7 linked regions of the Zea mays genome follow. Each later gene encodes a partner of the first gene's protein in a complex. Links are inferred from orthologs where the notes say so. Each region holds a gene or a part of one and is shown in the gene's direction. Other genes may lie near its edges.

Evidence for each region.
Region 2: 50S ribosomal protein L34-like (region 1) and 50S ribosomal protein L5 share a complex: the UniProt entries of both Arabidopsis thaliana proteins name them as parts of the 50S ribosomal subunit. The link is inferred for Zea mays from reciprocal best matches to the Arabidopsis thaliana genes AT1G29070 and AT4G01310.
Region 3: 50S ribosomal protein L34-like (region 1) and 50S ribosomal protein L31-like share a complex: the UniProt entries of both Arabidopsis thaliana proteins name them as parts of the 50S ribosomal subunit. The link is inferred for Zea mays from reciprocal best matches to the Arabidopsis thaliana genes AT1G29070 and emb2184.
Region 4: 50S ribosomal protein L34-like (region 1) and 50S ribosomal protein L24, chloroplastic-like share a complex: the UniProt entries of both Arabidopsis thaliana proteins name them as parts of the 50S ribosomal subunit. The link is inferred for Zea mays from reciprocal best matches to the Arabidopsis thaliana genes AT1G29070 and RPL24.
Region 5: 50S ribosomal protein L34-like (region 1) and 50S ribosomal protein L9 share a complex: the UniProt entries of both Arabidopsis thaliana proteins name them as parts of the 50S ribosomal subunit. The link is inferred for Zea mays from reciprocal best matches to the Arabidopsis thaliana genes AT1G29070 and RPL9.
Region 6: 50S ribosomal protein L34-like (region 1) and 50S ribosomal protein L13, chloroplastic-like share a complex: the UniProt entries of both Arabidopsis thaliana proteins name them as parts of the 50S ribosomal subunit. The link is inferred for Zea mays from reciprocal best matches to the Arabidopsis thaliana genes AT1G29070 and emb1473.
Region 7: 50S ribosomal protein L34-like (region 1) and 50S ribosomal protein L15, chloroplastic-like precursor share a complex: the UniProt entries of both Arabidopsis thaliana proteins name them as parts of the 50S ribosomal subunit. The link is inferred for Zea mays from reciprocal best matches to the Arabidopsis thaliana genes AT1G29070 and RPL15.

Annotation. Positions count from the first base shown.
Region 1 is NC_050098.1:192,685,835-192,689,772, forward strand, and holds 50S ribosomal protein L34-like, read left to right. Parts: upstream 1-1,410; 5' UTR 1,411-1,436; coding exon 1,437-1,686; intron 1,687-2,958; coding exon 2,959-3,218; 3' UTR 3,219-3,362; downstream 3,363-3,938. UniProt on the Arabidopsis thaliana protein: This protein binds directly to 23S ribosomal RNA.
Region 2 is NC_050096.1:5,386,994-5,390,630, reverse strand, and holds 50S ribosomal protein L5, read left to right. Parts: upstream 1-1,430; 5' UTR 1,431-1,533; coding exon 1,534-1,839; intron 1,840-1,969; coding exon 1,970-2,170; intron 2,171-2,326; coding exon 2,327-2,671; 3' UTR 2,672-2,957; downstream 2,958-3,637. Other genes in the region: glycoside hydrolase, family 28 precursor, read right to left, coding at 3,029-3,637. UniProt on the Arabidopsis thaliana protein: Binds 5S rRNA, forms part of the central protuberance of the 50S subunit.
Region 3 is NC_050098.1:221,939,828-221,942,796, forward strand, and holds 50S ribosomal protein L31-like, read left to right. Parts: upstream 1-1,605; 5' UTR 1,606-1,663; coding exon 1,664-1,753; intron 1,754-1,859; coding exon 1,860-2,162; 3' UTR 2,163-2,455; downstream 2,456-2,969. UniProt on the Arabidopsis thaliana protein: Binds the 23S rRNA.
Region 4 is NC_050100.1:50,135,390-50,140,019, reverse strand, and holds 50S ribosomal protein L24, chloroplastic-like, read left to right. Parts: upstream 1-1,571; 5' UTR 1,572-1,628; coding exon 1,629-1,757; intron 1,758-3,193; coding exon 3,194-3,232; intron 3,233-3,320; coding exon 3,321-3,548; intron 3,549-3,683; coding exon 3,684-3,866; 3' UTR 3,867-4,052; downstream 4,053-4,630. UniProt on the Arabidopsis thaliana protein: One of two assembly initiator proteins, it binds directly to the 5'-end of the 23S rRNA, where it nucleates assembly of the 50S subunit. Required for optimal plastid performance in terms of photosynthesis and growth.
Region 5 is NC_050100.1:222,785,508-222,789,768, reverse strand, and holds 50S ribosomal protein L9, read left to right. Parts: upstream 1-1,438; 5' UTR 1,439-1,510; coding exon 1,511-1,654; intron 1,655-2,180; coding exon 2,181-2,308; intron 2,309-2,621; coding exon 2,622-2,667; intron 2,668-2,913; coding exon 2,914-3,011; intron 3,012-3,191; coding exon 3,192-3,239; intron 3,240-3,332; coding exon 3,333-3,453; 3' UTR 3,454-3,510; intron 3,511-3,596; 3' UTR 3,597-3,821; downstream 3,822-4,261. Other genes in the region: Chaperone protein dnaJ A7A, chloroplastic, read left to right, coding at 743-788; methyltransferase WBSCR22, read right to left, coding at 4,213-4,261. UniProt on the Arabidopsis thaliana protein: Binds to the 23S rRNA.
Region 6 is NC_050098.1:202,897,315-202,901,860, forward strand, and holds 50S ribosomal protein L13, chloroplastic-like, read left to right. Parts: upstream 1-1,614; 5' UTR 1,615-1,720; coding exon 1,721-1,945; intron 1,946-2,428; coding exon 2,429-2,614; intron 2,615-3,180; coding exon 3,181-3,351; intron 3,352-4,134; coding exon 4,135-4,251; 3' UTR 4,252-4,538; downstream 4,539-4,546. Other genes in the region: uncharacterized protein LOC100285659, read left to right, coding at 1-124, 276-552, 659-915.
Region 7 is NC_050096.1:27,446,932-27,450,828, forward strand, and holds 50S ribosomal protein L15, chloroplastic-like precursor, read left to right. Parts: upstream 1-1,567; 5' UTR 1,568-1,568; coding exon 1,569-1,998; intron 1,999-2,259; coding exon 2,260-2,411; intron 2,412-2,999; coding exon 3,000-3,221; 3' UTR 3,222-3,306; downstream 3,307-3,897.

The DNA of each region.
Region 1 (3,938 bases):
CCTTGACGGGTGATCTTCTGGTGGCGATCCACCGTGAAGTGTGACAAGTACTTTTCTACCGGCTCCTTGTGCCATTCAGAGAGTTTATGCAGCAGCTCCGCCTATTCCTTGTCGCGTTGTTCGTTCCATTGCTGCATCACCTCCTTCTCATCACGCATTACGAGGTCTTCAAAGGGTCTTTGGTCATCAGCCGGGAGCGCCTCCATGGCCGGCTTGATGATGTTGGTGGTGGAGATCTTGGTGTGATCCTTAGAACCGACCATCTATGGGCCGATTTTTAGCAGGTCTAGACACCTAGTCCCCAGCAGAGTCGCCAAAAGTATGTTGACACCTTTTTCGGGCGCCAAACACTCAACAAGAACCGGCGACGGTGCTCTCTACACAGGCGCAAACGGTTCGCGCCCAGGGGCCGGACGGTCCGCGACCTGACGCAGGGCTAGGGTTCCCTGCCTGACGGCCGGACGGTATGCGCCCTAGGGGCCGGACGGTCCGCGTGTGCGCAGGGGCGGCGAAAGGTCGCCGGCGGCGCCTGGATCTCGCTCCCGGGAGGGACCCCGTCGGGGAGGAGAGATTCTAGGGGTTGTCTAGGCTCGACAGGCCGACCTAGATCCTCTAATCGACATAGAGTCGAAGAGAAGCGGAGAATTTGGGGATTAGAATACTAAACTAGGGCTAAACTAGAACTAGACTAGAACTACTCCTAATGCATAAGGTAAAAACGAGTAATAGACTTGATTTGATCGATTGTTGGGGAGTTCAATCGGCCGTAGCCCTTCATCTATATAAAGGGGGAGGTCTGGATCCGCTTCGAACTGATTTCCGAGTCAATCCCACGGTTTTAGATAACAAATCCCATGAGAAACTAGGAACCCTAACTGACTCTGCGCACGTGCGGACCGTCCGCGCCACCACCGAAGACAGTCCGGACCGTGGACCGTCCGCGCGGCCCCTTTTGGCTTTCAACAACTGTATATGCTCGGACTTAGAGCTAAAGATCCAGAAATGAGGAAGCAATTCTTCAAGCTTTACCATGATACAGTTTTGTAAACATTCTTAATCTTTAAAAGATGCTAACAAGAGTATAGGACAACAATTAATGCTTCTGCATTTCAACGTATCTTATCTTAACATATTTTACTCCGTAGCAATGCACGGGCATACAACTAGTATCATTGTAAGTTTTATAATGGAATGAAGCCCTCTAATTAATGGTAAAATAGCGAAACTCACTTTTGATAATGGCGCAATCCTAAATTTCTCCGTGAGGAACCGGGATTCTCCAGGGCGGAGGAGGGGATGTGTGGGTCAAATGTGCACTAGCCCATAGGAGGCCCATAAGGCCTGTCTCATCAAGCGTGGATAAGATAAAATAAAACAAGCACCAGGGACAGGGAGTGGCTAGACCGCAGCAATTGCGATTGCGAGTCCTCCAAACCATGGCGCTCGCCCTGGCCTCTCCAATGGCGTCTCTCTCCTTCCACTCCGGGAGGATCTCGGCGGCGTCTATCGGAGGCGTCGGCCGCACTCGCAGGGCGGCCCCGGTGGGCGTATCCGCCTCGCCGTTCCTCCGGAGCTCCTTCGTCTCGTCCTCCTCCACGTCGTCCGCCTCCGCCTCCGCCTCCCCCGCTTCGCTCGCGGCGGCTGTCTCGGCGTCTCTGGCATTTACGTCCTCCTCCGCGTTTGCGGGTGAGAATGTATCCTGTAATCCTTTTCTTCCTGTATTCGTGTGCTAGCGTTTGGGCGGCCATTTGTTTTGGTCTTTATTTGGGGAAATTTTGTGGGTAGTTTGCTTACTAGTAAGCTCGTACGGGGAAATGACATTAAAAATTTGAAATTATGACTTCATGACCGTGTGTTGACGATAGATTTGCAGAATAGGATGTTTGACTTGCTAATAATTCACTAATAATACAGTAAGCTGGTATCAAGAGGGTGGAGTTTTGGAATAGTTTGTTCTTTGTTGTTCATTACTCTAGTAGGGTGAAGAACAGTAACTGGGGATTTATGTTGTTTTAACGTTTGAACCGGAATTAATTACACTCACTTCATCTATACAAACAGAAATAAGGGTGTCCTAACTAATTCTTTGAAAACATTGAAGCTTGTGTGGTTGGTATTATAAAAAAACCAAAAATTCAGTTAGTCGGGCATATTAATAGAGAAGGACTAGATACACCAACATCGTTGAAAACAAAAGAAAAATGCTCACGAAACGAAGCGATGGCAAGACAATCACCAAAATAATAGTACATCGCCAATAAAACCATCAGAGCATTGGCAATCAGAACACGCCCTGATAGCCAAACAAGATATGGGGTGGGGTTCATATGATGCCTCCAAGGAGGTAAACAACATCTGCAGGTGCCGCCATCGATTATAGAACCTATGCTTTTGAACCAAAATCCCCTTAGGGTCTAGAGACCTCTTGACAATGCCTACAAGGAGGAGTGCGTCACCATTGCTGGCATCAACAGAAAGCCGAGCGTAGCTTTTGTCGAAAATCTGCTACCCCAAAACCCACACCTTGTTCCTGCAATGGCAAGGAGCCCACCAACGGCACTGCATGTTGTCATCCACCAAGTCTCAAGATAAAGTCATTGCAATAGCATTTTCTTTTGCTTGACAAGAAATCAAGATTTAAGAAGGGCTGCATATGACAGGACTATTAACCAATATAGTGAAGATTATATAACACAGTTGAAGCATAAACGCTTCCAAGAAACTTGATCTCAGGACTGATAGTCTGATACTACGACAACACTTTAATCACACTCGACTTTTCCATTACCTAAAGCAAATCCCAAAGCTCCTAAAAGAAGCACGACAAAGTTGAATCCAACAAACCATTTAAGCATTGTATAACAATCCAAACACAACCAGATAGGTATTCACAAATCAATGATTGTGAGTGCATGTGTGCCTTCGTTGTTCTTATACTTATAGCATGTTCTATGCCAGGTTCATCTTTGGGAATCGAGTTCAGCTACAGTATAATGACAACACGGAGATCCCGTGGTATGCAGATTAGGGCTGGAAAGGCTGCCCTCTGCATGACCAAGAGGTCAAGGTCTAGGAAGTCACTTGCCCGTACACATGGTTTCCGCAGGCGGATGCGGACTACTTCTGGAAGGAAGGTACTGAAGCGCAGGCGCGCCAAAGGCAGGAAGGTTCTTTGCACAAGGACAAACTCAAACAGTGGGAAGAAAAGAATGTTCTAATTACACTGCAATTTGATGTGCTCGCAACTGTAAGTGTAATGTCTACTTGCAATCTTCTAAGCCGCCATCTATGTGTAACAATCATGTAGCATCCTATTCCTGTTTAATTGGTTAAAAATATCTGGATCACCTTCTGCTTCCAAGGTTTTATTTGGTGTATGAATGATATTTTCTTATGAATATTTACTCTTCCCTAGTGGGCCTGAACCTGCGTGCAGTATGAAGGAACACTTGAGAGTAGATACCGTCGCTGTTATGAAGTAGGATCTCCTTTTACCCTGCCCATATTCCGTTATGAATACTGAATCTTCCCTGTTGGGTCTGAAATTGTGTGCAGTAGCATCGTTCGCTATACTGAACTAGGATCTCCTTTTGCGTTGCAGGGATAATCAGTTAAACTATTATATACTCCGGTTCCAATTTATAATTCATTTGACTTTTTTACACTAAGTTTGACCATCTCGTTTTATTTAAAAAATCATAATTATTGTTAAAGTTTACTGTGGTTTTGATTAGCATACAATATACTTTAAGTATGGCTTTGGATTTTTTTATTTTTTCAAAAAAAAAATTGAATAAGACAAACCGGATTTACCTTCATTAGCTGATGATGAAACTACTTACCCGTGCGGCCGTTTGATCCTTGCGCTACTTAAATTCTCTTTTCGATGGAGAGAAAGAGGCCGAAAGGACTCTGATGTCTAAAAGTAGAGTAAATTA
Region 2 (3,637 bases), on another chromosome or scaffold:
GAAGACACAGAGAGTTGATGTGGGTGGCGAAGTAAGATAGGGTCGATCGTTCTGAAGGGGTGCCCCTAGGCCTTATATACTCGACCGTGGGGCAGTACACGTGGATATGATAACAACAAGTAGCTAAAAGGTAGTGAACCTCTTGAGTTTATCCCTACGTAACCCTCGCCGACTTATCTTCGCATGGCTCCGCTGCATGGGGGCTTCAGCGCGGGAAAGTCGGGTCTCTGTTGCGATTTACTCGCTCGACGTTGTGGGCCATTCGGGTTTGCACCAATCCGGTATCACGTCGCTCTGCTTTGTTGGTTGTTTCTCCCCAGGCCCACAAAAGAATGACCTTACGATTTATTGGGCCCTTGGGCCTTTCGTGAGGTCTTTTACTCCTTTAGTGGACCCGGGGGATATCTATCCCCCACACAACAGCCTTAGGCTCCATGGCATCCAATTGTGTTGTCACATGGAGCATAGGGTGTCCACAACCCCTGTCACGATAGTTTGGAATATTGCATCTCATTTTTGGGCCAACACAACCAACACACTAAAGACATCAATCATGGTTGAAAGAGAAGAGTAAGGCCATGTATACAAAGTACACAAACTAGTCTACTTCACGAGTGAGGTCCTATTAAAGTCTAAAGTACGATACCCGCAAGTCTAGAAACCACTCTACACCCTACTAATCATATTGCACAGACTTTGCCACTAGGTCTGGACGAGAAACTTGTGGATCCATAACTCGCTCTCATTAGTGGCTTGATACATCTTGGCTCGTTTGAAATGAGTCACGAGCTCAGCCAACATTTTAGTTTGGTTCTTAACGAGCCAAACGAGCTGCACAGCTGCCCTGCGGCCCAACGAGGCCCAAGCGTCAAGCGACCTAGCCCAACCAAGCGAGACGTAGACGACGAACCACATACGACAAATCTACTATATTCAAGCTTGAATATTCAGTTTTCAACATTTTATTTTGATTTGTATATCAATCTTTCAATATTTTATTTGATTTATATGTGGTGTGTCATGACCAAGCAATAGTGCATGACAATCTTGATAGCAAGCTACCATTATGGATTCTAATTGAACTATTTTTGTCATGCACTTTAGCTTGAACATGTGTAATCAGTTTAATATATGGTTACCTCTCACTAAAAAATATATATGTAACGTCATCATGGGCACATGTCCCACATATCAAATATTAAACTGATCACACTTGTTTTTTAAGTTGTTTTTTACACGCATGACCAGCTCAATGACTGTTGTTAATCACGTATTCACGATATTAGGTTCGTTGTTAGCAAAACAAGGCTGTATTATGATGTTAATCTTATTGATCCACTAAACAATCTTGGCTTGGGCTTGATGGGCTTTAGCCATCTCTGTATCCTCAATGGGTCCAAGTCCAGAGCACACGAAGGCCTAGCCCAGAACCACTGGATTGGCCACTGCCAGCGGCACAGCCGACGCCTTATCCAGCAACCGTCTTCCTCATCCATGGCATAAGCCGCGCCCGCCTCCGCACGCCCCGCTCCGATGGCAGCCGCGGCTGTGACCCTGCCCTCCTCGGGCACGCCCTTCGCCGTCGCCACAACCGCCTCTTCCTCATCCGCCCGCCGCTGCCTGCTCCTGCCCTCCGCGGCTCCCCGCCGAGCTCTCCGCGTCGTGGCCTCCGCCGCTACCGAGGCGCCGCCCAAGCCCACGCAGCCGCCGACATCGCCCTCCGGCATCGTGCTCGTCGACCCATCCGAAGCCCAGAAGGTGCACCGGCTCAAGGCCGTCTACGACCAGAAGGTCGTCCCGCTCATCACCGAGGAGTTCGGCTACACCAATGTCCACCAGGTGCTCGACCGTCGACCCTGCTCCTCCTCGCCGCGGAAAGGCCCGCCGTTCCTCCTTGTAGCTAGGCTAATTTGCTGGCGTGGTAGGATTTTGACTTTTGATGAGTCGTGCGGTTGGTTCGAACGGCTAGGTTCCCAAGCTCGAGAAGATTGTGGTGAACTGCGGTCTGGGCGCGGAGGCAGGGAACTCGAAGGGGCTGGATGCCGCCATGAAGGACCTGGCCATGATCACCGGGCAGTGGCCCGTCAAGACCAAGGCCAGGAAGTCCGTGGCCAGCTTCAAGATCCGTGAGGGAAACACCATCGGTATCGCAGTCACCCTCCGCGGCAGGGTGAGCCTCATCCATTGCTCATTTGGCCTCGGAGTGTATTTCGTGGCAGTTTGGAATATGGCAGCTTAGTATAATCTGCAATACAAGTGGAAATTGTGAGCTCGTTTCACTGGTACAGGGCTCATTTCTTTTTCTTTTTTTTGTCCTTGGCTGTAGATAATGTACAACTTCCTGGATAGGCTCATCAACCTTGGGCTCCCTAGGACCATGGACTTCCTGGGTGTCAACCCCAACAGCTTCGACGGGCACGGCAACTACAGCCTTGGCCTCCGTGACCAGGGCGTGTTCCCGGAGATCCCGTACGAGGTGGGCGGGAAGAAGAACGGCATGGACGTGTCCATCGTCACCAGCGCCAAGACGGACAACGAGGCGTTCAGGCTGCTGGTCCTCCTCGGCATGCCATTCTCGGAGAACATCAAGACCGACGTGGTGATCCGGAAGAAGAGGTTGAAGCGCCACCACTTCCTGAGCAAGGGCAAGGGGAAGGGAGGACGACGGTGAGGAGAGGAACCAGCCAGCCAGCCAGCCCATGGTTGCACACGCTCTGTTCAGCTTGTTTTAATTCCGATCTTTTTGCAGAATTTGGCTTACAAATTCGATGCTGTTGTTGTCTGTCAATTATGTAACTTGTGCACCTATGAAAAAGGTTTGCAATGATCATGTCCGTTTTGCTGATTTCTTCTTGATGCATAATTTGTAGTCACAAGTTATACCACTGCCAGACATTGTAATCGGAGGAAGCAGTAATGTGAGACGGACACTGTAATGCAAACGTATTTCAGCTGCATTTCTCATACTGCTTGTCTAGACTATCACCGAAGAGCCTATATGATCAATGATCTCTTTTGGCAATCGGCCTCAATAGCTACACTTCGGCAGCTCGGGTGGGCCGATGACGAGCTCTTCCTCCGGGAAGGCGCACGGCTTGCCCTCCGCGGCGAGCTCCGGGCACGGCTTGGGCGAGACGTGGGAGGTGACCCCCTTGACGTTGGTGCAGTTCCACTGCAGCTCCTTGGCGTCCGGCGCGAGGCGGGCGGTCACGTTGGATATGCAGATCCCGGTGTAGGGGTCCTTAGGGATGCCCTCCATCCTGCCGGCCATGGTCACGTTCTCGGCGAACACGTCGCTGTAGTTGATGCCGGTGACCTCGGGCATGGCGTTGGGGTCGGACGTGTTGTCGGGGTGCTGCCCGTAGTTGCCGGTCATCCAGAACACCCACTTCATGGTGTGGAGGCTGAGGCCGCGCACGAAGATGTCCCTGACGAAGCCGCCCCTCCCGGCGCCGGACTTGACCCTGACGGCCGACTCCGTGTTGATGGCCACGCTGTCCTCGGCGCGCACGTCGCGGATGCCGCCGGACATCTCGCTGCCCAGCGCGATCATGGCGCTCGTGGGGGAGACGCAGGTCAGCCTCCGGATGACGATGTGCTGGCTCGGCATGTTGAACCTGATGCCGTACTCGTCCCA
Region 3 (2,969 bases), about 29 Mb from region 1:
GAGGGTACCCCTATTATGGTCCCCGACACTTATATAACCTCCAGAACCATACGAGTGAAGCCTAAAAGCGATGATTCAAACTCTCAAAACATTACAATCTGATCTAGTAAAAAGAGCTAGTTATAGCACCAGATCATCTACTTGTTCTCTCCATTAGTCCAAATCTTACAAATGTTAAGCAAACTTCTACCGGTGAAATCGATCAGAACATACTTTTTTCTATTGGACATGATAATATACGATGTATGAGCTATAATAAAGCAAACAATCATAGTTTAGTATGAATTGCAGCAGAACATCGTAATTATGATCGACAAACATTGTTATACTCATACAACATGGAATAAATCTTTGTAGATGTAGTTAATCGATAAATAACAAATATAAAATTGCACCTATCAAAGTTAAAATATATGAATACTTAGCTAGATCTATTATCAACAAGGCATAATGAATAGAGATAGCCAAACAAACCAAAGTTAAAATATATGAATACTTAGGGCAGCATGACGTACGAATAATGATATACCAAAAGGTGATAGAAGAGTATAGTATTTAGTAAGAGCAACTACAATAGTTATGTATAATAATAATACCTAAATCCTAGATATAGCAAGTTCTCATATAATATAGGGGAAAAAATCATCTCATCCAACATTTCTCTATCTATTACTTTCTAAATATGTTAAATTTTAATTAACATGACGCTAGTTTGAGTAGGACCATTAGTGATGACACATTTAATTGGTGAGTTATGTTGGCTTTTTTATTTACTATCACAATTGTTTATTCGTTTATTTCTAACATGTGCACGTGCGGCTATTGCATTGGCAATTGGTTAATCTCTAGTTGACTACCTGCCACAATTTTACATCGTCGGCGTCCGACGAATGTGCTCTGTTAATATATCTCTACTACAAAGTGAAAAAACACCAAAATACAAAAGTTATCGTCAGTTTTTTGTTTAGGAAGTTGATAAATGGTTGCTAAATGTAGGGAGAAATTGAGATTAGATGAGAAGTAGCTAAATTTAGAAAATTCATTTAAGAGAGTTGTTGGAGATGAGTTTTTAGTTTAGCTACCTAAATTATTTATTGATTTAAGGAATCTTTTGGAGAACTACTAGAGTTGCTCTAATAGAGTTGCTCTAAATTATTTAATTTTATACTCTTAAGAAAACCGTAACAACTGTAATTGTAGTTTGCATATCATTCCTTAATTATATTTAAGTCAGACTCTACACGGCATGCAACTTTCTCTTCTTTTGGCCCACTAATTCAACCAACCATCTACCAACACTTTCATTTCTGGTGGTGTACTTTCTTCGACGTTACATCTATGAAAGAGAATTTTGATCCGAAATGTTTCGATAAATAAAAAACCGCATAGCTATACCTCTTTAGTATAGCTGGCCGCCAACTGGAAATAACTGAAGGAGAAATTGGGCACTGGATTTTTCGTGGGCCGTCGCATTTCCACGTAGCCCAAAACAAACCACAGACAGACTTTAATGAACATATAGAGCCCAAACAAGCCTAGACAACGCTACCTAAAGAGAGAATCGACGAGCGCCAGAGGATAACATTAGCAAGGCGATAGATAAGAGGAAGGAAAGAACATAGGCAGCCGAAGCGACTGTCGCGAGGCAAGGCCATCGTCCGCCATGACGCTCTCCCTCTCCACCTCTTTCCTCCCCATCCCCGCCGCCGCGAGGACCACCGCCCGCACCCTACGCTCCGTCGTCCCCTCCCAGGTACGCACGTTCGTACACACCGGCCCTCCCTCTCGCCATTCCTGCACGGATCTTCGTCGTCGCCGCCGCTAATTCCTGAGTCCGGAACCTGGACGGCGCGGTGCAGGGGATGCGCTGCTCGATGCGCAAGAAGGGGTTGCACCCGGAGATCTACGAGGACGCGAAGGTGTACTGCAACGGCGAGCTGGTGCTGGTGACGGGGGGCACCAAGCCGGAGTACACGGTGGACGTGTGGTCCGGAAACCACCCCTACTATGTCGGCGACACCTCGGCGCTCGTGGTCATGGACAGCCAGATCGAGAAGTTCCGCAAGAAGTGGGGCCACATCAAGGAGTACTGGCCCGAGGACCAGTGGAGGGAGATGCACCCAGACGGCGACCCGGAGTTCGAGCCCGAGGGGGACAACTGATTGATGGCTCCCCGTCTTCCTCACCCGGTGCGTGGTCACCGGTCCAGTTTACATTTGCCCTCTTGAATGGAATCGAGACTCTGTCTGTTCGCATTGCTCTCCAGGTGTTCGGTTAATGTTCGGAATGGAAAATGTACAATTACTACTACTTCACGAGATAGGGTCTTGTTGATCATGGGCCCCCAAATACAATGTGCTTTCTGCAATGCACTCTAGGGTAGGATGGTATTGATCAAACAAGCAAATGATCCTGGTTCGAGGAAATGGATATTTCTCACTAGGAGTATACGCTGATGCTTGACTACAGCTTGAGTCGTCTGCTGATAACCTGATACCGCATACTGTTTGATCAAACTAGCCTCCTGTTGCTAGGTGATCCAATTTCCGAGTCATAGTTTTATACAACCAATTTTTCCATGCGACTGAACTAATTGAGTGTCCATGTGTTGCATGATATATAAAACATGTCGTGACATACGGCCATATGGGTGGAATAGAATATTTGTAAAATCTCATGCCATTACAAACAATTAGCACCAACATATAATTCAAGCTAATTTCTATAAAATAAAACAAAATGACTATAATATTATTGGCTTAATCTAGACAAAAGAAAAGTAAGTAATTTTATTTTGTTATTAATAAACCGTTGAAGATAATATCATACACTAGCTCTGATTCACTCTATTTCCTACGTTGATAGAAAATGTGGCGGAAATAAGAATAGATAGCGACAAGCAAATAGATACTCCCTCCGGTGTTATATTATTTGTCGTTTTGGATAATGTTCGAGTCAAACTTATAAAA
Region 4 (4,630 bases), on another chromosome or scaffold:
GAACGCTGAGCTAGTGAGCTTCACTTGTCTTGGAAGCCCTTCCAACGTGCGTCTCTACTAAGTAACTCTTGTGGAGGCCACAAGGTGCAAAATCTCTATCACAGTGGGCAAATTAATCAACAACCGAAGGAAACTACTTGACATGTCTAGCTCCGAAACCTGTGAAAAAAAATGGTCCACATCTGGAGTGTCGCAAGCAAGTAGAGCTTTGCCCAGACAGATTGAGTTTTGCCCAGCACTCCAGCATCCATGCCTTAAAAGGTTATAGTTAGAAAGGGGGAGGATTGCTAAGCCCTTGCCAGTTAGCCACATAGAGAGAAGGCCTTATTATTAGATCATGCCATTTCTTTTCTTACAAAATTAACAAAGTGCAAAGCATTACTATGGCCACGAGGAACAGATAGCTACGAAATGAAACTGTCGCAATTATCATGGAAAAAAGCCACACATTTCCTTATCCATTTTGTTTGGTAGCGCCACATAGAAACAAAACTTCATGTCACGATTTGCATAGTTATCTCAACACATGTGGCGAATAGAAAAGGAGAAAGAGAAAAATAAACACAAGATTCTTAACCATAATAAGATATAATTTGTGTCGGGCATTTGCATAGTCACATGCTTATCCCATGGGGAACGTTAAAGGTTTGCTTGCACGGCAGGACCATTCCTGATTCCCTAGATGGTAGTTAGATGACGGCGATAGGAGCCGAGGCCCAACTGCCCAGTGATGTATTGGCCGTGTTGTTTATGTGATCTGTCATGGATGTCCTACTATGATTCAAGGATTTAGGACATGCGCAGAACTGCCAGCAATGAAAAGTCGAAGAAAGAGATATTGACTTCGAGGGGGAGAAATGTAGTCCACTATGAGAAAAGAGATACCCAATGTCTCTGGAGAAAAAGATCTGAGGTAAACACGTCTAACTTGCAACCATGATTTGCAATAGAGAAATCCGATTGACATCCCACCCTTTCTCGGTGCAGGATGGGACCTGCAGCAGCAAAAGCGCAAAGCTTCGATGTCACCGCCATCCACCTACCCTCCATCGCCCAAACTGTCTCTGTCTCTGTAACGCGAATTTTATTTTACACAACAGCAAAGTGAAAAACTGGAGTAGGGGGTTCGCTTGCCTCAGCAACCGTCGCGTAGCTTGCGCGCCTCGGCGCTGGAACGGGGAATCTGGAGGCGGGCACGCATCTCCCAAGCAATCTCGCGTGGCCTCGCGTAGCGTGCGAGGAGACACGCAGAGAGGGAGGGAGAGAGAAAGAGAGCCTTGACCCCGCCGTCCTCGTCCTGTCGTCCTGATAGCTGATGCAGTGATGCTGATCAGCTGATGCGTGCGGAGCTCGCTCGTGGAGCCGAGGCCCTAGCCTGTAGCCTCTCACGGCGGTAGAACGAGCACCCATGGGCCTCACTGGATCACCTAAGCGTCTTCCAGGCCCATCTGTGCCTCACCTGAGGCCTGTCTCATTTAGTGACGAGGCCCAACCCACCAGCGTCAGAATACAAGAGCGCGTTATCCTCTCTCTTCCGGTTCCGGGCAACTCGAAGAAGCCGCGTGCGTTATCCTTTGAGCAGTTTGGGCGCTGAGCAAGTCCAGTGAGAGAGGGAGAGCGGCGAGAGGATGGCTGGGATGGCATCGCTGCAGGGCGCCATGGCGTCGCTCTCCATCTCCGCGCTAGGCGCGGCGACGGCGAGCAGCAGCAGCTTCTGGGGCAACCGGCTCGCCACCTACTCCGCGCCGCAGCCTGGGGTCTGTTCCTGCTTCCCAATTCCGTTCCGTTCTGCTGATGGTTTGGTAGATAATAAGTAGCTGTTCTGGTGAAAGATTTTACTCTGGAGTTTCTGGATAGCGTTGCAAAGCGCGGTCGGATGGAATTGTTCTAGGGACATTCGAGCTTGCATTACGGTTTTGGAGCTAGTCTGTATGGATTGGATGCAATGAAATGGAAAATTACCTTTGCATTGTTATTAATTGTGCATTTTCAAGGATGACAAACCAGGCTTCTAATATGACTATGTTTAGGGGTGTTTGACATCACTCTAGAGCAAAACTTTAAGGAAGACCTGGACAAAGTCAACTAAACACCCTAATTCTAGAGTTGCAAACTCTATAGAGTTTTGAGAGTTGTAGTATAATTTTTTGGAGTACATTTTTTGCTACTTTGAAAAATCCTTCAAAAACAATCAAGACACATCCAATGCACTGGTTATGAGAAAGCAATCTACACTTCGGAGCAGATATACTTCACCCAAAGTTTTGGAGTAGAACTATGCCAAACTCGCCCTTATTAGATTTCATATTACATTAAGTTTCTATTTGCTCCACGACACACACTAAATTTAGACCGTGTCCATATTGAATTTCGTCTACCTTCTTTTTTTATTTTTATCTTGCATGGAAGCTTAAATGGTAAGATTTGAGTGCGCCAAATAGATTAACTGATTGGGATTAATTTAAGTAAGAGAATTTCCTTTGTCATTGGTAATCCGGTATTGTCCTTTTTGCATATACAACTATGCACATGTTTGCCTTTTAGTGCTAATAGAGAGTATGCTGTGTTTCATGTGGTAAAATTTGTTCGAGTACTCTTTATTTAGTTTGTTAACTGAGGAAATTATGTTGCTTTTGAAGCGGTCAAAATGTCAACTGAAGAAATTATGTTGCCCTCAATGTGCCACTGATTTTGTTTATATATATTTATGCCTGAATTACCCCACATCACACAATACATATGACTAACTGGAAACAAAATTTGGCGCCAAATAGTGTATTATGAGCATAATGATGTTTGTATTTGAACCCTGCTTTCTTTTCTGTGTCATCTTTATTATGCCTTACCTGTATGTACTTGTGCCTGGAAAATTCCCAACTGATAAGAATCGGATGAGGATAAACCTTTCTGTTAAGAAGCAAAAGCAAGTAAAGAATAGATAGTGAGGTCAAGTAATCACTGTTGAAGGAAGTGATAGAACCACTGTATTTTAAGGGATATCGTATTACTCAAACATAAAGAGGAGCCCTGGATCCTGTAGTGTCTTGATCAGATCAACATGAATCGTAACCACTGTGTTTGAGTCATGCCATATCTCAGAAGCATCTGATTAGTGTCTCTTTGATTTGAAATGGAATCTTATGTCTTTAGGATGTGAAGTTCTGACAAGCTGTTTAATATGTTCAATATGCAGGTAAGGTTTATGGTCAAGATATGCCCAATTGAAATGAGAGTGAGTAAAAAAAATCTTTAGTCCAAATATTTGATACCTTTTTTATCCAATAATGTGAAATGTCCTAAAACTTCACTTTCCACTGCAGCTTAAGAGATGGGAGCGAAAGAAGTGTAAACCAAACAGTCTTCCTGTGCTGCACAAGATGCATGTTAGGATCGGGGACACGGTACAGGTTATTGCAGGCCGTGAGAAAGGAAAGGTTGGAGAAGTCACACGCCTTTTCAAGCACAACAGCACGGTGATCGTGAAGGACCTGAACTTGAAGTCGAAGCACAAGAAAGGCACAGACGATGAACCCGGTGAAATCGTCATGGTCAGCAAAATTTCTATTGAACTTGTTTTTTGGGCCTCTCATGATGCTTTGCACATATTGGTTTCAAGAGCATATCTGTAGTTTTAGTAGGTGCCTAATCGTTCTCTTGATCAGACTTAAATTTTCTTTGATCAGATTGAAGGCCCCATTCATAGCTCAAATGTGATGCTCTACTCTAAGGAGAAGAGTGTGGTAAGCAGGGTTGGCCACAAATTCCTGGAGGACGGGACCAAGGTCCGATACCTGGTCAAGACCGGTGAAGTAATCGACAGTGTTGAGAAGTGGGTAAAGGTTTTTAAGGAAGGAAATTCGGAGTAACAGTTTTAGCATGAAAACCTGCAAAATGCTCTGAACGCTGACTGCGTCTTGCATGTTGAATTGAGCCTGTTTATCCCTCTATGTTGTTATTTACGCCAGTTTTTCCCCCTGTAAATTATACAGTTGTCACCAAATCTTGCAACGCAAGTCAATGCGCATCAGCATATGCTGATCTTGTTCCGCTTCACCAGTCAGAGTTTTGGATGAAAAACTATGAGGGCATGTTCGGTTACAGTAATCCAGAGGGGGATTGGAGGGGATTAAATCCCCTCCTAGTCATTTTTGACTAGGAGAGGATTTAATCCCCTCCAATCCCCCTCTGGATTGGTGTAACCGAACAAGCCCTGAACGGGCTTGTATGTGCGGGCAGCCCGTGTTCGTTTGCAGCTCTGGACCCACTACTCTCGGTCTCGTCCTCACTTCCTCAGAAATATCCACATATATCATTTCCTATATTACAAAGGCATATTACAAAGGCGAAGTAACCTGTGCACATGAAGCAATAGTGCACATATAACATCTCAGTCTCTAATCTTCGATCAAACGGTTGCATCTCCCAACTCCGCATTTTATTAGAAAACACCCTCCACCTCTCCTGAATCCCTCTGAATCTTTGATGAACCCCCCAAGCTCCCTGTGCGCCAGAAACAACTATGATCCTTATTTCTGGCCGCCGCCCCATGTATTCTGGTCGCCGCTTCCACTTCGTTCCCTGGCCACCGCTTCCACCTCATTCCATGGCCACCGCTTCCACCGCTCGTCCT
Region 5 (4,261 bases), on another chromosome or scaffold:
AGGTTTTGTATTGTCTCTTTTTCTTAACTAAAGGGTAATGAGGTAACACCGCGCTGAAAAAAAAATCATTACATTGAGCATATAGGTTTTGTACTATACTTCCCTGTTCTGGACTTCTGGTGGTATAAAGTATAAACTACCTAGTTGTTTATGGCAGCCGTTACATTTTCACGTACTCCTTTATTAAAAGGGAAAATTACAAATTAAGTTTCTTAAAATCTGAACGCCTTTCTCTTCACGCCTGCATTTTAAATTATCCAGCCTGCGGCCGTGGCTTCACGCGTGTTGGCTGATGTATCTCTGAATATTACTGTTCACCGATCGCTGTTGAACGACTTATCACTTTACCTGTTCTTTCACGCACTTCGAAACTGGCGCAGCGGAGCGCCCCGTCCGGTCTAGTGTAGTAAATAGTAATGGGAAGTTGAATGCAGATGCCTCTTTTATTGAAATCTGAACCAACCCAACTTAATCTTGTAGTAATGAACTATATTTTTGGTCACTGCATTACATTTCCGAGTATTCTTTAAAAGGGGAAATTACACTGTAGTAATGGGAGATTTGAATGCAGATGCATAACCTCTGTTGAAATTTGAGCCATCCTAACTGTGTTAGTTGTGTTCGAGAAAAATAAAAGGTTGGCTGAGTTCGAGAGGAAAAAATGTTGATTGATTTAGTTCATCAGACATTTTTGTGATTGGGTTATCTCTTGTATTCTGACCTAGATGTTGAATTCTTTCAGGTCCATTGTTAATGGCGCTGCGAAGTGGCTGAACGACAACCTGTAGGCTGTAAATATTTACTGCAGGATAGAAGATTGTCTTACATGGTGCTGTAGTCCAATCAAAGTTCTTAGATTCATTGGGGGTCCCCACGAGCTCGTATATTCGTTTTATTGGAGAGCTGCAAGATTTTCAGGCTGAGTGGCAACCGAGGGAGTGAAAGTTGTCAACTAATATCGTCGCGGCGTTGGTCCCTTGTCATTCTTGCCAAGCAATTATTTTTATGTAGTTGGAGTCCTTTTCAGTCTGGCAAGCGGCGTAGAAGTCTGAAGCTGTGGGATGCTGATCCCAAACCCCGGGACTAGACAAACACTGTACTTGAGGTTTTGGATTAATCAAATTCACCGATATCGAATTGCAAACTTATCCAACTTACAAGATGCGATGGAACTATTTATTAGAAATACGTTTCGGTGATATCGAATTCTCAGTTTCGAGAAAGGGCTATCACGCCGGCAGTTCACGCGGCTGGATCCGGGCACGGCGACCGCGCAGGCTCCCGCCATGGACGCAGCGCGACAGGCGAGAGAAGCTGTGAAACGGGCTCTACGGAGCCGTGACATTATCCATTCCAGATCGATTGGGCCGCCGCCGCCGCTTTCTCATTTCCGGGCCCAAACCATTATTTAGGCCTCTCGCGAAGTCAGTGGATGGATAAGAAAGGAAAGCGGTGCGAGCGGAGGAGGCGACCGAAGCGCCACTTGCTTGAGTAGCGAAGCGCGAGAGCAATGGCGTCGCTGTCGTGCGCCTCCACGCTGCCCTGGACCCCCGCCTCCTACCCGCGGCCCTCGGCGGGGCGCTGCCTCACGGCCTCTCGCCGGGCTCCGTCGCTGGTCATCGTCGCCCAGGGGAAGGTCAAGAAGTACCGCCAGGTCGGCCCGGGCTTTCCGCGTGTTCTTATGTTCGAGTTCTGTGCTGATTTCATCTTAGCAATCAGTTAATGCACGCGGGTTGCTGAGGGCATCATAACCTGCCGCGTTTTAGTTTTCTTCTCTAAAAAAATTGATGCACCGCCGTCGGTACGTTTGTATATTGTGATCAATAGATACAAATGAAGTTAGCTAGCTTAGCTGTCTCACTGGCAACAGGTAAGATATAGTGGCTCGCACAATTTAGATGCTCCAAGAGTTGTACTACTACTACTACTAACCAGGCTTTTAGGCAGGGGATTTAGATACTAGGGATGAAATACCTTTGATGGGAGCCTTGCCTCACTAGTTGGAGTTCAGTTCATAAGTCGTTCCTTTTGCTGTGTTTGCCTGATTGTACAAGAATGCAACAACGGTGCATCCAGTTAAATTGACAATGTGGTGCTTATCTTGTGTAGCTATTACCGCCACCCTTAGCATTACATGTGATTTTACCTTTCTCCATAAAAAAAACAATTCTTTCCCATAGGTCATATTGACAGACGACATAGAAGAGGTGGGGAAGAAAGGGGATACACTGAAGGTGCGAGCTGGATTCTACCGCAACTTCCTCCTTCCCAAGGGCAAGGCTACACTTCTGACCCCAGAAGTCCTCAAGTAATTGCTACCAGCTCTCGGTTATCCCTCACTTGCTTTGCTTTGTTAGTTATGTCATTTAATCCTCAAGTAATTGCAAAGTCCACACTCTGTCAAATGATTCAGTGGCTGCTGGCAACCGTATGACCTTCTCTGTGGTATGCTTAGTTTGACTCTGAGGTTTGGGACCTAGGCACCTAGCAAAACTAGATTGAGATATGAATCCAATCCATGCACCTTTCTAATAGAATTGCAATGGTCGACACACATACTGTTTGATTCGATGGGTAAGTAAGATTGCGAATGAATTTATTGCCTCTACTTCTCTTCGCAGGGAAATGCAGCTGGAGCAGGAGAGAATAGAAGCTGAGAAGAAGCGGGTAGGAAAAAATATTTTACTCAGTAATAAATGTAGTTGCAATTTAACCTCAGCGACCTTTTTCTTTGTCTGGAGAGTAAACTTCAATTGCAGTTTATCCTTACTTTCCTTATGAAAAGAAAATATAGTGCCTTTATGTCCTCCGTAATTTAAGTCCTAAGCATGATATGTTCATGAAATTCTATCAATGCATTTTTATCAGTTTTTGTTTATAATTATGGCCTTAAGAAGTCCTCTATTTACATAGGTAAAAGAAGACGCGCAACAACTTGCTCGAGTTTTTGAAACCATTGGCGCTTTCAAACTCCCTCGCAAAGGTGGAAAAGGAAAACAGATCTTTGGGAGGCAAGTTCTAAGTTGGACAATCCATTATTTATTCTCTCTTGTCTCAGGCTATCTCTTACAGCTTACCCATCTCCATCTCTCATTTCAAACTCTACTTTGTACACACTGCAATCTATAGTGTCACTATCTGCTGGGTATAGTCTTACTTTCACTTTTCTGACGATATCTTTTATTGTACAGTGTCACGGCACAGGATGTTGTTGACATAATAAAGTCACAACTTAATAGGCAAGTGCATATGCTCCTAACTCCTAGGCAATCTTAATAGCGTTTCTCATCATTATATTGCTTCTCTTACTGCTGGCACGCTGTGTCTTGTAGGGATGTCGACAAGAAGCTGGTGACGGTTCCAGAAATCCGTGAAATCGGAGAGTATGTTGCAGAGATCAAGCTTCACCCAGACGTGACAGCGCGAGTAAGGCTGAATGTCTATGCGAAATGAGCTCAGCAGTTACAGAACCTCGAGTAATGGACTTTGGAGAAGCCTGATGTTTGCCAGGCGAGCTCATTTGCCGTTGTTCTTTCCTTGAGATTTGGCTCTTAGAATTCCGCTGGTCTTGCTCTTACACAGTTGCTTTTGTTTAGTGCAGAGATTTTGCTGCAAGTGCCAGGTGCTGCGGTAGACATGAGGCCTGGTCTGGCCGTGACTTGCCTGGTTTTGATACACAATTCACTGGCTCACTGCGCATCCTATTCCCTACCGTGTGAAGTCAAGTTTTCAACAATTATATCTGTTGATTTTGAGGCGGAAAATATAAATTGTTGTAAAGAACAATTTGTTTGAACTGTAGAGCACTACTTCGCCAAAAACGACCCTTCTTTCTTGTCCTCTAACCTTCCCCACCTCTACGTCTGCATCCACTACAAAAAAAAGGCAAGAAATTTGCTAAGTATGGGGCTCCATAGAGCGTTATTCAGATTGGAACACCAACGTACTTGACACATGAACTGCGTTTCTTTTAGCCAAAGTCTGGGCGTCACCAGCGATCTGATACAGATTCACGCAAACCAACTGTATTCATCTCAACATCCACGTTCTACAAAAATGACAGTTTCACATCGTTGTCTAAAAATGCAATGACTCCCGAATACCAGTACAACTCCTCGCTTCACCCTTTACAAAAATCCTTCTGCTTCTGCTAAATGAACTAGCATCATAACTGAACAGCCAGCATTGCAGGCAAGGGGGCATTGCACAGAGCTAGAAATAGCCTTTCCGCTTACGCCCGGTGTACTTCGTGTCGGCGGGC
Region 6 (4,546 bases), about 10 Mb from region 1:
ACTAGCAGCTCAGGAAGCTGAAGGAAAGGTAATTGGTGATGATAGCATGATAGGAAGGTGGCGGATCATTGTTGTCAGGAGCCTCCCTTTTGTAGATCAACGATTAAATGGGAAGATACCAAAGGTAGAAATCTTAAGATGTCATAATCTATCCTCTGTACCAATTTGTCATGATAGAAATTCTCATTCTCACTTTCCTAAGCCTGATATTTTATTTTTAGGATTGGGAAACAAAGTGTGTTCAGATACTAAATCACTTAACATGATTTTTGCAGATGTTGACTCATCGCCTTTTCACAGAGGCAAGGTACTCTATATGGGTTGACTCTAAATACCAATTACGAAGAGATCCTATAGGAATGCTTGAAGCTCTTCTTTGGAGGACAAACTCTACATTTGCTATCTCTGAACATGGAGCACGGAGTAACATATATGATGAGGGGAAAGCTATTGTTCAAAAGCACAAGGCTACCCCTGAAGAGGTAGAGGTACAATTGACTCGGTATCGTCAAGATGGAATGCCGGACACAAAAAGATTGCACGGACTGAAAGGTCAGTCTGTTAATCTTTCTCAAACAATTGTTCTTTTGCTCCTGTGGAATATCTCTGTATATGTTTTCCGAACTGTTATAATGAATTTACCCGTTTGATTTTTCAGCTCTAGCCGAAGCCTCTGTTATTGTGAGGGAACTCACCCCTGCAACGAACCATTTCATGTGTGCTTGGTTTAATGAAGTGGTTCGCTTCACATCTCGTGATCAGCTCAGTTTTCCATACGTTTTGTGGCGGCTAAACATGCATGGATTGAGCATGTTTCCTGTATGCACTCGCAGGGATCTTGTGAATAGTTTGGGTCACACAAGGAAAGTAAAACCTCTTACACAGACAAATTCAGGGTCTTCTACTACTTCGTAACCTTCCTCCCAGTTCATTTGCTGGTAGCCAACTAACCATTGATTTACATATGGTTCTAATCGTCGATACTCGACATCTCTGGTTCACAATTTTGTTGTTGTATATTATCATCTTTGCGTTCTTCCTGCGAGGGAATCCTGGATCTGAACCAGAAACACGTTAAGCTGTTGCTTCACTGCAACGCAATCACACGATGTTGCCACTATATATGTAAAAGATATGCTTTCTTTGGTTAGAAGAGAATGAACACTTTTCTGCCTCCTTTCCGTTTCCTGATGGAACATGTGAAAATGGTGTCCGTTATCAATTAATTCGGCTTCTGCTGCTGATGGTTGTCGCGGAAACTAGCAGCAATGGAAGTTCTGTTCCCGTCATTTTATTTGGACTCGAGAATTTCTCTGATTACCGATGTTTCTAATTGGTACTTGAACAGCGGAATCGTTTGAAAAAAATATGGTCCTGTCTGAAGCTATATTTTGTTAATGCAGCTCCCTTTGCCCAATAGTAATACATTGAATTTCTTTTTTTTAGATGGAATTATGGAACCGCCATTATTCTGAGTTTGGGAAGAGTTTCAAAGGAAGCGTTTAAATCTCAGATGAGCTGATAAGGTGTCGTAATGGGCCAAATCTGCATTTCGTTCTGAGCCCATGAAGCCCATATGTTCTTGTTAACCTTTCCCTGTTCTTTGTCTCCTATCCCCTTATCCGCTTGACGCTCCCCACTGCGCCTAAAAATGGCCGCGTCCCACTGAACCAACCGTCTGCACATCCTCCTCCTGTTGCCGCTCGCTCGCCGTGCCGCAATGGCTACGGCCGTCGCCTCCCATACGTTGCTCTCCTCCGCCTTCGCCCCGCGCCACTACCACCGCCGCCTGACCCGGACCGCGTCCGTGGGGCCGCGCCGGGCCGCCCCGGTGGGACTGGCCGTGCGGTGCGAGAAGAGCGACAAGCAGAAGAGGCAGCCGCTCGCCGCGCTCGTGCCCCGCGAGCAGCGCTTCATGTTCGAGGGAGACGAGCTCTGCGGCCCCGTACGACGCTCTCTCTTCCTCTCTTGAAACAATGTGCACATTTTCACAGCTCGTTTTGCAGGATTGTAACCCTGGACTGACAGTGTCCATCCTATTTTGTTCATGTTTCACCGTGGCCATCTTAATCCACCTCAGAGGCTTCGACTATCCTTTTATGTGCATGATGAAGGGCAATCAAGTTACAATAGAACTGCGTACATTATATATGTTATCTGCCATGTGCCATCATATCCAAAATTACCCATGGGCTGTTTGTGGTGAGAGAGAATTCATTAAAAATGAGCTTAATTGGACATGCAAGTCAAAGTGAACTGATGGTTGCCAACCAGCCTGTTCATAATTGTGACTTGTTTAGGATCAGTTACTAATACTATGGGTACAAAGTGAATGGTTTGTTTGTACTATGCCTTGTTCTTTCTTCTAATGAATTACTCCACAAGTAATTGTGTCTACTGAAATCTGATTCAGTGATTTAATTTGCAGGACATATGGAATACAACCTGGTATCCTAAGGCTGCAGATCATGTAACTACCGAGAAGACATGGTATGTTGTTGATGCAACAGACAAGATCCTAGGCAGGCTAGCATCCACCATTGCAGTACATATCAGGGGAAAGAATGAACCCACTTACACTCCTAGTGTAGACATGGGAGCTTTTGTTATTGTGGTAAGCGTTCTCTCAATACCTATAGTGTTTGGAATCCCTACAGTTAACAGGTAGCCAGCTAACAAATTGTTAGCTGGGTTGAGCCAGCTAATGAACTAATTGTTAACTGTGAGTTAGCTAACAATTAGTTGTGGGTGTTTGGAACCTGTATAGCTAATTTTAGCAGCTAACTATTAGCTGTAGAGGTTCCAAACAGGGCCTTAGTATACATGCTTTACTTCCCTCAGATTATTTGGTACTGAGGTGAGTAACCTTCCTCAAATAATCTTCAACTGTAGTTGTGTTTAATGTTTATGTTAGCATAGTCCTTTTGTGACTGGTGCATCTCTAAAGGCTCATTACCACGTATTCCCTCAGTTCCAAGTTATAAGACTTTTTGGATTTTTTTTGGATCCATTACTTTTGCTACGCACTTAGACATAATTCATGTCCAGATATTTAGTAACAACTATGTATCTAGAATTACCAAAACATCTTATAATTTGGAACAGATGGAGTAGATGATATGCATTATTGTGTTACACTACAATGCTGAGAGTCATTAACAACCTTTTCTATTCACATAGGTCAATGCAGATAAGGTTGCTGTTTCTGGTAAAAAGCGGTCACAAAAGCTTTATAGGAGGCACTCCGGAAGGCCTGGAGGGATGAAAGAAGAAACTTTTGACCAACTTCAGAAAAGAATTCCAGAGAGAATCATTGAACATGCGGTTCGTGGCATGCTCCCCAAGGGAAGGGTAAGAAAAAACATCTACTAGCTGATTGCCTCAGGTCTACATGTTCTCTTTCTCGTTTTAGTGCGCATGTTATAATGTATGCCAAATATGAAAATGACAACCAAATTTCCTGGTGACCTTTATTTTAAGGTCCCAAAAATTACAATTTGGTATTAGTTAGCAGATGTGAATTTTTTCTTTTGAGATTGAGAACTACTATAGTTAATGGTGAGGCCTTGTTCGGTTATTTCAATTCCATGTGGATTGGTGTGTTGGGATGGATTGGGATGGATTTTGACTTGCTATGGATTTAAACCGACTCAATACCACTCAATCCACATGGATTAACGGCGAAACGAACAAGCCCTGAAGTGTATTGCAGTCAGAACATTGCTCATGCATCAGCATGTACCTCCCAGTGAAAGCGTGACATTCAGAATAAATCACAGTACTAAATTCAAGGGAATGTTGTTATTGAACAAAATTAACAAGTCCAGATTGAATTAGTTAATTATCTTGCCGATCTTTTTTTTTCTAAGTTCGCAAAGGTGTGTTGCATGAACTCCATAAAAATTGCCTATTAACCTTTTTCTTGCAAATTGCTTCTTAGTTCAATTGTTTGGTAGTATGGATGCGTTTACTGAAACTCACATTATGGCAGGCAAATATCTTGTTATCTGAAGCATCCCCCCTAACCATTCCATTTTTCTTGTTGATGGCAAATTTGATTTAACTTAGTTTTGTTATGTGCTATATACTTGTTATATTTACATTTATATGCTCACCTTTTTTGCCAATTTGCAGCTGGGAAGAAGATTATTTACCCACCTCAAGGTATACAAAGGGACAGAACATCCGCACGAGGCTCAAAAACCTGTCCCACTCCCGATCAGGGATAAAAGAATACAAAAAACTGGATAGAGAATTCATCGACTGAAAAGGATGCAGTGGCGAATTCCTCCCCAGAAGGTTTTGCCCTTTGTTTGGAATGCTATCCTCATAACCATGCCTCTGATCGGGGAGGGGGGGGGGGGGAGTATAAATCCTCTTTGTAATTTTGATGTTTACCAATGCATGAAATTCAGTCAAATTTCTGTCAATGAGTAGTCATGTAATATGGTACGGTTTAAATCAACCTAAAATCTTTATTTTCCAGTTGAAGTTTGTAATTTTGACCTCGTATGGTATGAAGTGGCAGATTGTTTCAATGTTCGGC
Region 7 (3,897 bases), on another chromosome or scaffold:
GCAAAGCATTAGATTTAAAACTTCCTATCATGTTAGTCCATCTAGATAAGATGAATTTCTAGATGATATCAATATAAATCACACTAGGGGAGATCATTCATCTAACTCGAAGCAGGATGCACAATTTAGCATTATGATTAAGGTAGAATCATAAGTATGAGCAGCTATCAGGGCAATTCCATGATATATATTTAAAACTCAAAACACTAAATACTAATCAAAGCACCAGTTAAGATACCAATTAAAAGTACTCACTAAGGTACCCATTTTTGTGAACCATGAAGGTGACAAGTCTCAATTACACCCTTGTAGCTTGCTCAATCCTCCTATCCACCTTGAGATTATGTAAGATCACTAAAGAAAACATTAGTCTCAAATAACACAAGATATGTGTGCTCCCCTCAAATTCTGCATCAAGTACTTGAATACAAGGTTACAATAAGCGCTAGGCGTTAGGCGGGCGTTAGGCCACTGTTTAGCGCCTAGAGAGCTTAGGCGTAGATTAATCGTGCTTAAGCGTTTGTAGGAATATACAATATAATATATATATTTGCACAGAAAAAACAGTTTTAGCTAGGAATTAGGGGTACTTACCTGGAATAATGAATAAAAGTATAGAACAGAAGAGATGGAGGAGCAGAGCAAGAGCAGAGGGAGAGGGAGAGCACGCCTGGATAGCTAGGGAAAAGGAGCAGAGAGGCGCTGACCCCGGTGGCCTGGACGACTTGACCAGAAGGAGAAGAGGAACCGACGGTGGCGGCCCTGGACAGCTGGGGAAGAGGACCAGTCTGGCAGCGGCCCTGTTTTCCTCCTCTTCCATGCAACAGCAGCTGCAGCTCCCAGCCTGTTTCACTCTCTCCCGGGCAACAGCAGCTCCCACCTCTTTCCCTCCTATTCACTTTCTATTCCCGCGCAGCAGCTTTTTTCTATTCCCGCGCAGCAGCTTCCGTGCTCACCTTTTCCCCGCGCGCCGAACCCCGCTTCCACACGCCTCCTTTCCGCCTCAGCGCGCATAGCGCAAATCACGCGCCGCCTACACGCGCCCACCGCGGAAACCACCGCCTAGGGCCTAAGCGCAGCGCTAACATGCCGCTTAGCGTCTAATCGTGATTAGGCGGGCGCTTAATCGCGCTTTTTTGAACATTGCTTGAATAACTTATTCTACCCACATTCTAGCAATTAAGGATGTGTTTGGTTGCCGGACAGAGTTTTTTGCTTAAGTTTGTGCATATTGCAAATCTTTTTGAAAAGATGTGAAAAAGGTATGGTTCTATCCCTTACTCAATTATTTTAGTTGCTAACTATGTTTGTCTAAGCGTTAGAGAATATAATGTATCAAAGTTTTGATATAGTTCTATCTTCTATTCAGAAAAATACCGATTTTTTCTTCTTTATATACAACTTTCGAGTATATTATTATTATTGACATGAATGGGCCACGGCTGTTTGAAAAACAGGCCCAAATAAAGAGTGGAAGAGGCCCATCGTCTCCATCTTATCTCGTTCCCAAACCCCAATTATCCGCTTCTATCCACAATCGCAATTCGCAAGCCCTTCCAACGGCAGTCATGGCTTCCATCACCCTCCTCTCCCTCGCTCCCACCGCCATCTTCCTCCACATCCCGGCTTTCACCTCCTCCTCCGTCGTTGGTCCCGGAATCCTAGCCGGCCGCTGGGCCGCGCCCCGCGCCCTCCCGCTCCGCGCGCTCCCGCCCCGTCGCGTCACCGTCGTCTGCAGCAGCGCCGCGGCGGCAGCCGAGGCCTCGGACGCCGCAGCGCCAGTGGAGAAGTTCCGGCTCGACAATTTGGGGCCCCAGAAGGGGTCCCGCCGGCGGCCCAAGCGTAAGGGACGCGGTATTGCTGCAGGCCAGGGCGCGAGCTGCGGGTTCGGTATGCGCGGGCAGAAATCGCGCTCGGGGCCCGGCGTCCGGCGCGGGTTCGAGGGAGGGCAGATGCCGCTCTACCGCCGTCTCCCCAAGCTACGGGGCATTGCCGGCGGTGAGTTGCTTCAGTTAAACCGAAGCTTCCCCTAATGCACTCAATCGAAGCAACTCGCTAAGCTCTAGTTCAGACAGATGCTTGTCTCACACCCCCACTTCGGCATTGCCCATCCGTGATTAAATTCACACCAGGCTGGCGCATAACTAATTGAACTATGCATTGTGTTGTTACTCGTGAGAGCCCATCAAGGTTACAAGGAATGCAGAAATGCAAGTGATTGAGAAGTTGCCTGATGTGAGTTCCACCATGGCTTTTCAGGGATGCACATTGGCCTGCCGAAGTATGTGCCATTCAATTTAAAAGACATAGTGCGCGGCGGATTCAAAGATGGTGACGAAATATCACTGGAAAGCCTGAAATCACGGGGTCTGATCAATCCATCAGGCAGGGAAAGGAAGCTGCCGCTGAAGGTAAATCTTTTGATGATTAACCTTTGGTTGTTTCAATAAAACTTGTTTTGTGGACTGGTATTTGTGACATAGAACTTGACACGTTCGAAAATATGAATGACTTCATATTCAAGGGTTTGGCTTAGGTCTTGGCCAGTGAGGACATGTTCTCTTTAAGGCAACCTTATTGTACCCCAGATTTGAAGCAAGAATCGAAGTGTTTAGTGATTTGTCGTTAGATTGAGTGGCCAGTATTCTTACTTTTTTACTTCTTATAGGTTGTTGTATCGATTCTGAATTAGCCTGTGATAATGTTAGGTACCAAGTTTATCCACTTGAGTTAGAGTCATCTATTAGAACATGCAATACGGGATCGAGTTTTTTTGGTTGTTTCTGTTAGATGAGCACCACTTGAAGTGTTGAATAGCTTTGTTTGTACAATTTGGCAATGTTCCCATAGGTTGTTCATTGGATTTACAATATATTCTAGAGTAACTACAAACTTCCATATCTGCTAACATAAACATGAAGTGGCATGTGCCACCTGTTAGTTTTTGCAATCATATTTTGTCTTACCTTCATGATCACTTGTTGTTCACCTGTTTGTAGATCTTAGGAGATGGGGATGTATCAGTTAAGTTGAATATCAAGGCTGGAGCGTTTTCAGCTTCAGCTAAAGAGAAGCTTGAGGCAGCTGGTTGTTCCCTAACTCTGTTACCTAAACGAAAGAAATGGCTTCCACAAAATTATCTAAAGAACCAAGCCCGAGCAGAAGAGTACTTTGCCAAGAAAAAAGCTGGTGCTGGTGAATCTGATAGCGGCTCTGCATAGAATTTCTTTGCGATGTACTCTTCTCTTGCTTTTAGCATATGCTTATTACTGAGCAAGACACACCGGCTCAACTAAAAATGTTCATAACTTCTTCATCCAAACTCTGACTTCGATGATATTAGACATTTCGGAAATTTTATTTAAAGGGCTACGATAGCCACTTTAATAATTGATTCAGAACAAAATGGACTAATCCAGAATTCAAATCCAAAGACACAACCCTTGGTTAGGAGAATATCGAAAACCTTTTTTTACAAAGAAAGTTAACTCCAAATGATTTCCCACGTGATGATCAACACCTTTAAGACTTAGTTAGCATTTTCAAAGGTTTTTTATCTCAAACTTTATCCACCACTTGATCCTAGCAACATATGCAAAGTTAGATCACTCAAGTGGCTCTAGATGACAGATATGGAAACAATGTTGACTATCTTAATAGTACGACCATCTATTTTAAACCAGATTATGCACAATTCTACACAACCTTTGATTGGTGAAATGAGATGCTCTGCAAGTAATACATTTCCCTTGTACATTCTATTTCATCTCCCGAAACAATGACACAACACAAGCATCGACCTCTATCATCAAATGTGAACATTGATCATTCATCGGTGTAGCGAATCACGCTACATTTGATCATAGCACACTGGATGAAGTTCCTCCACAATGCTTC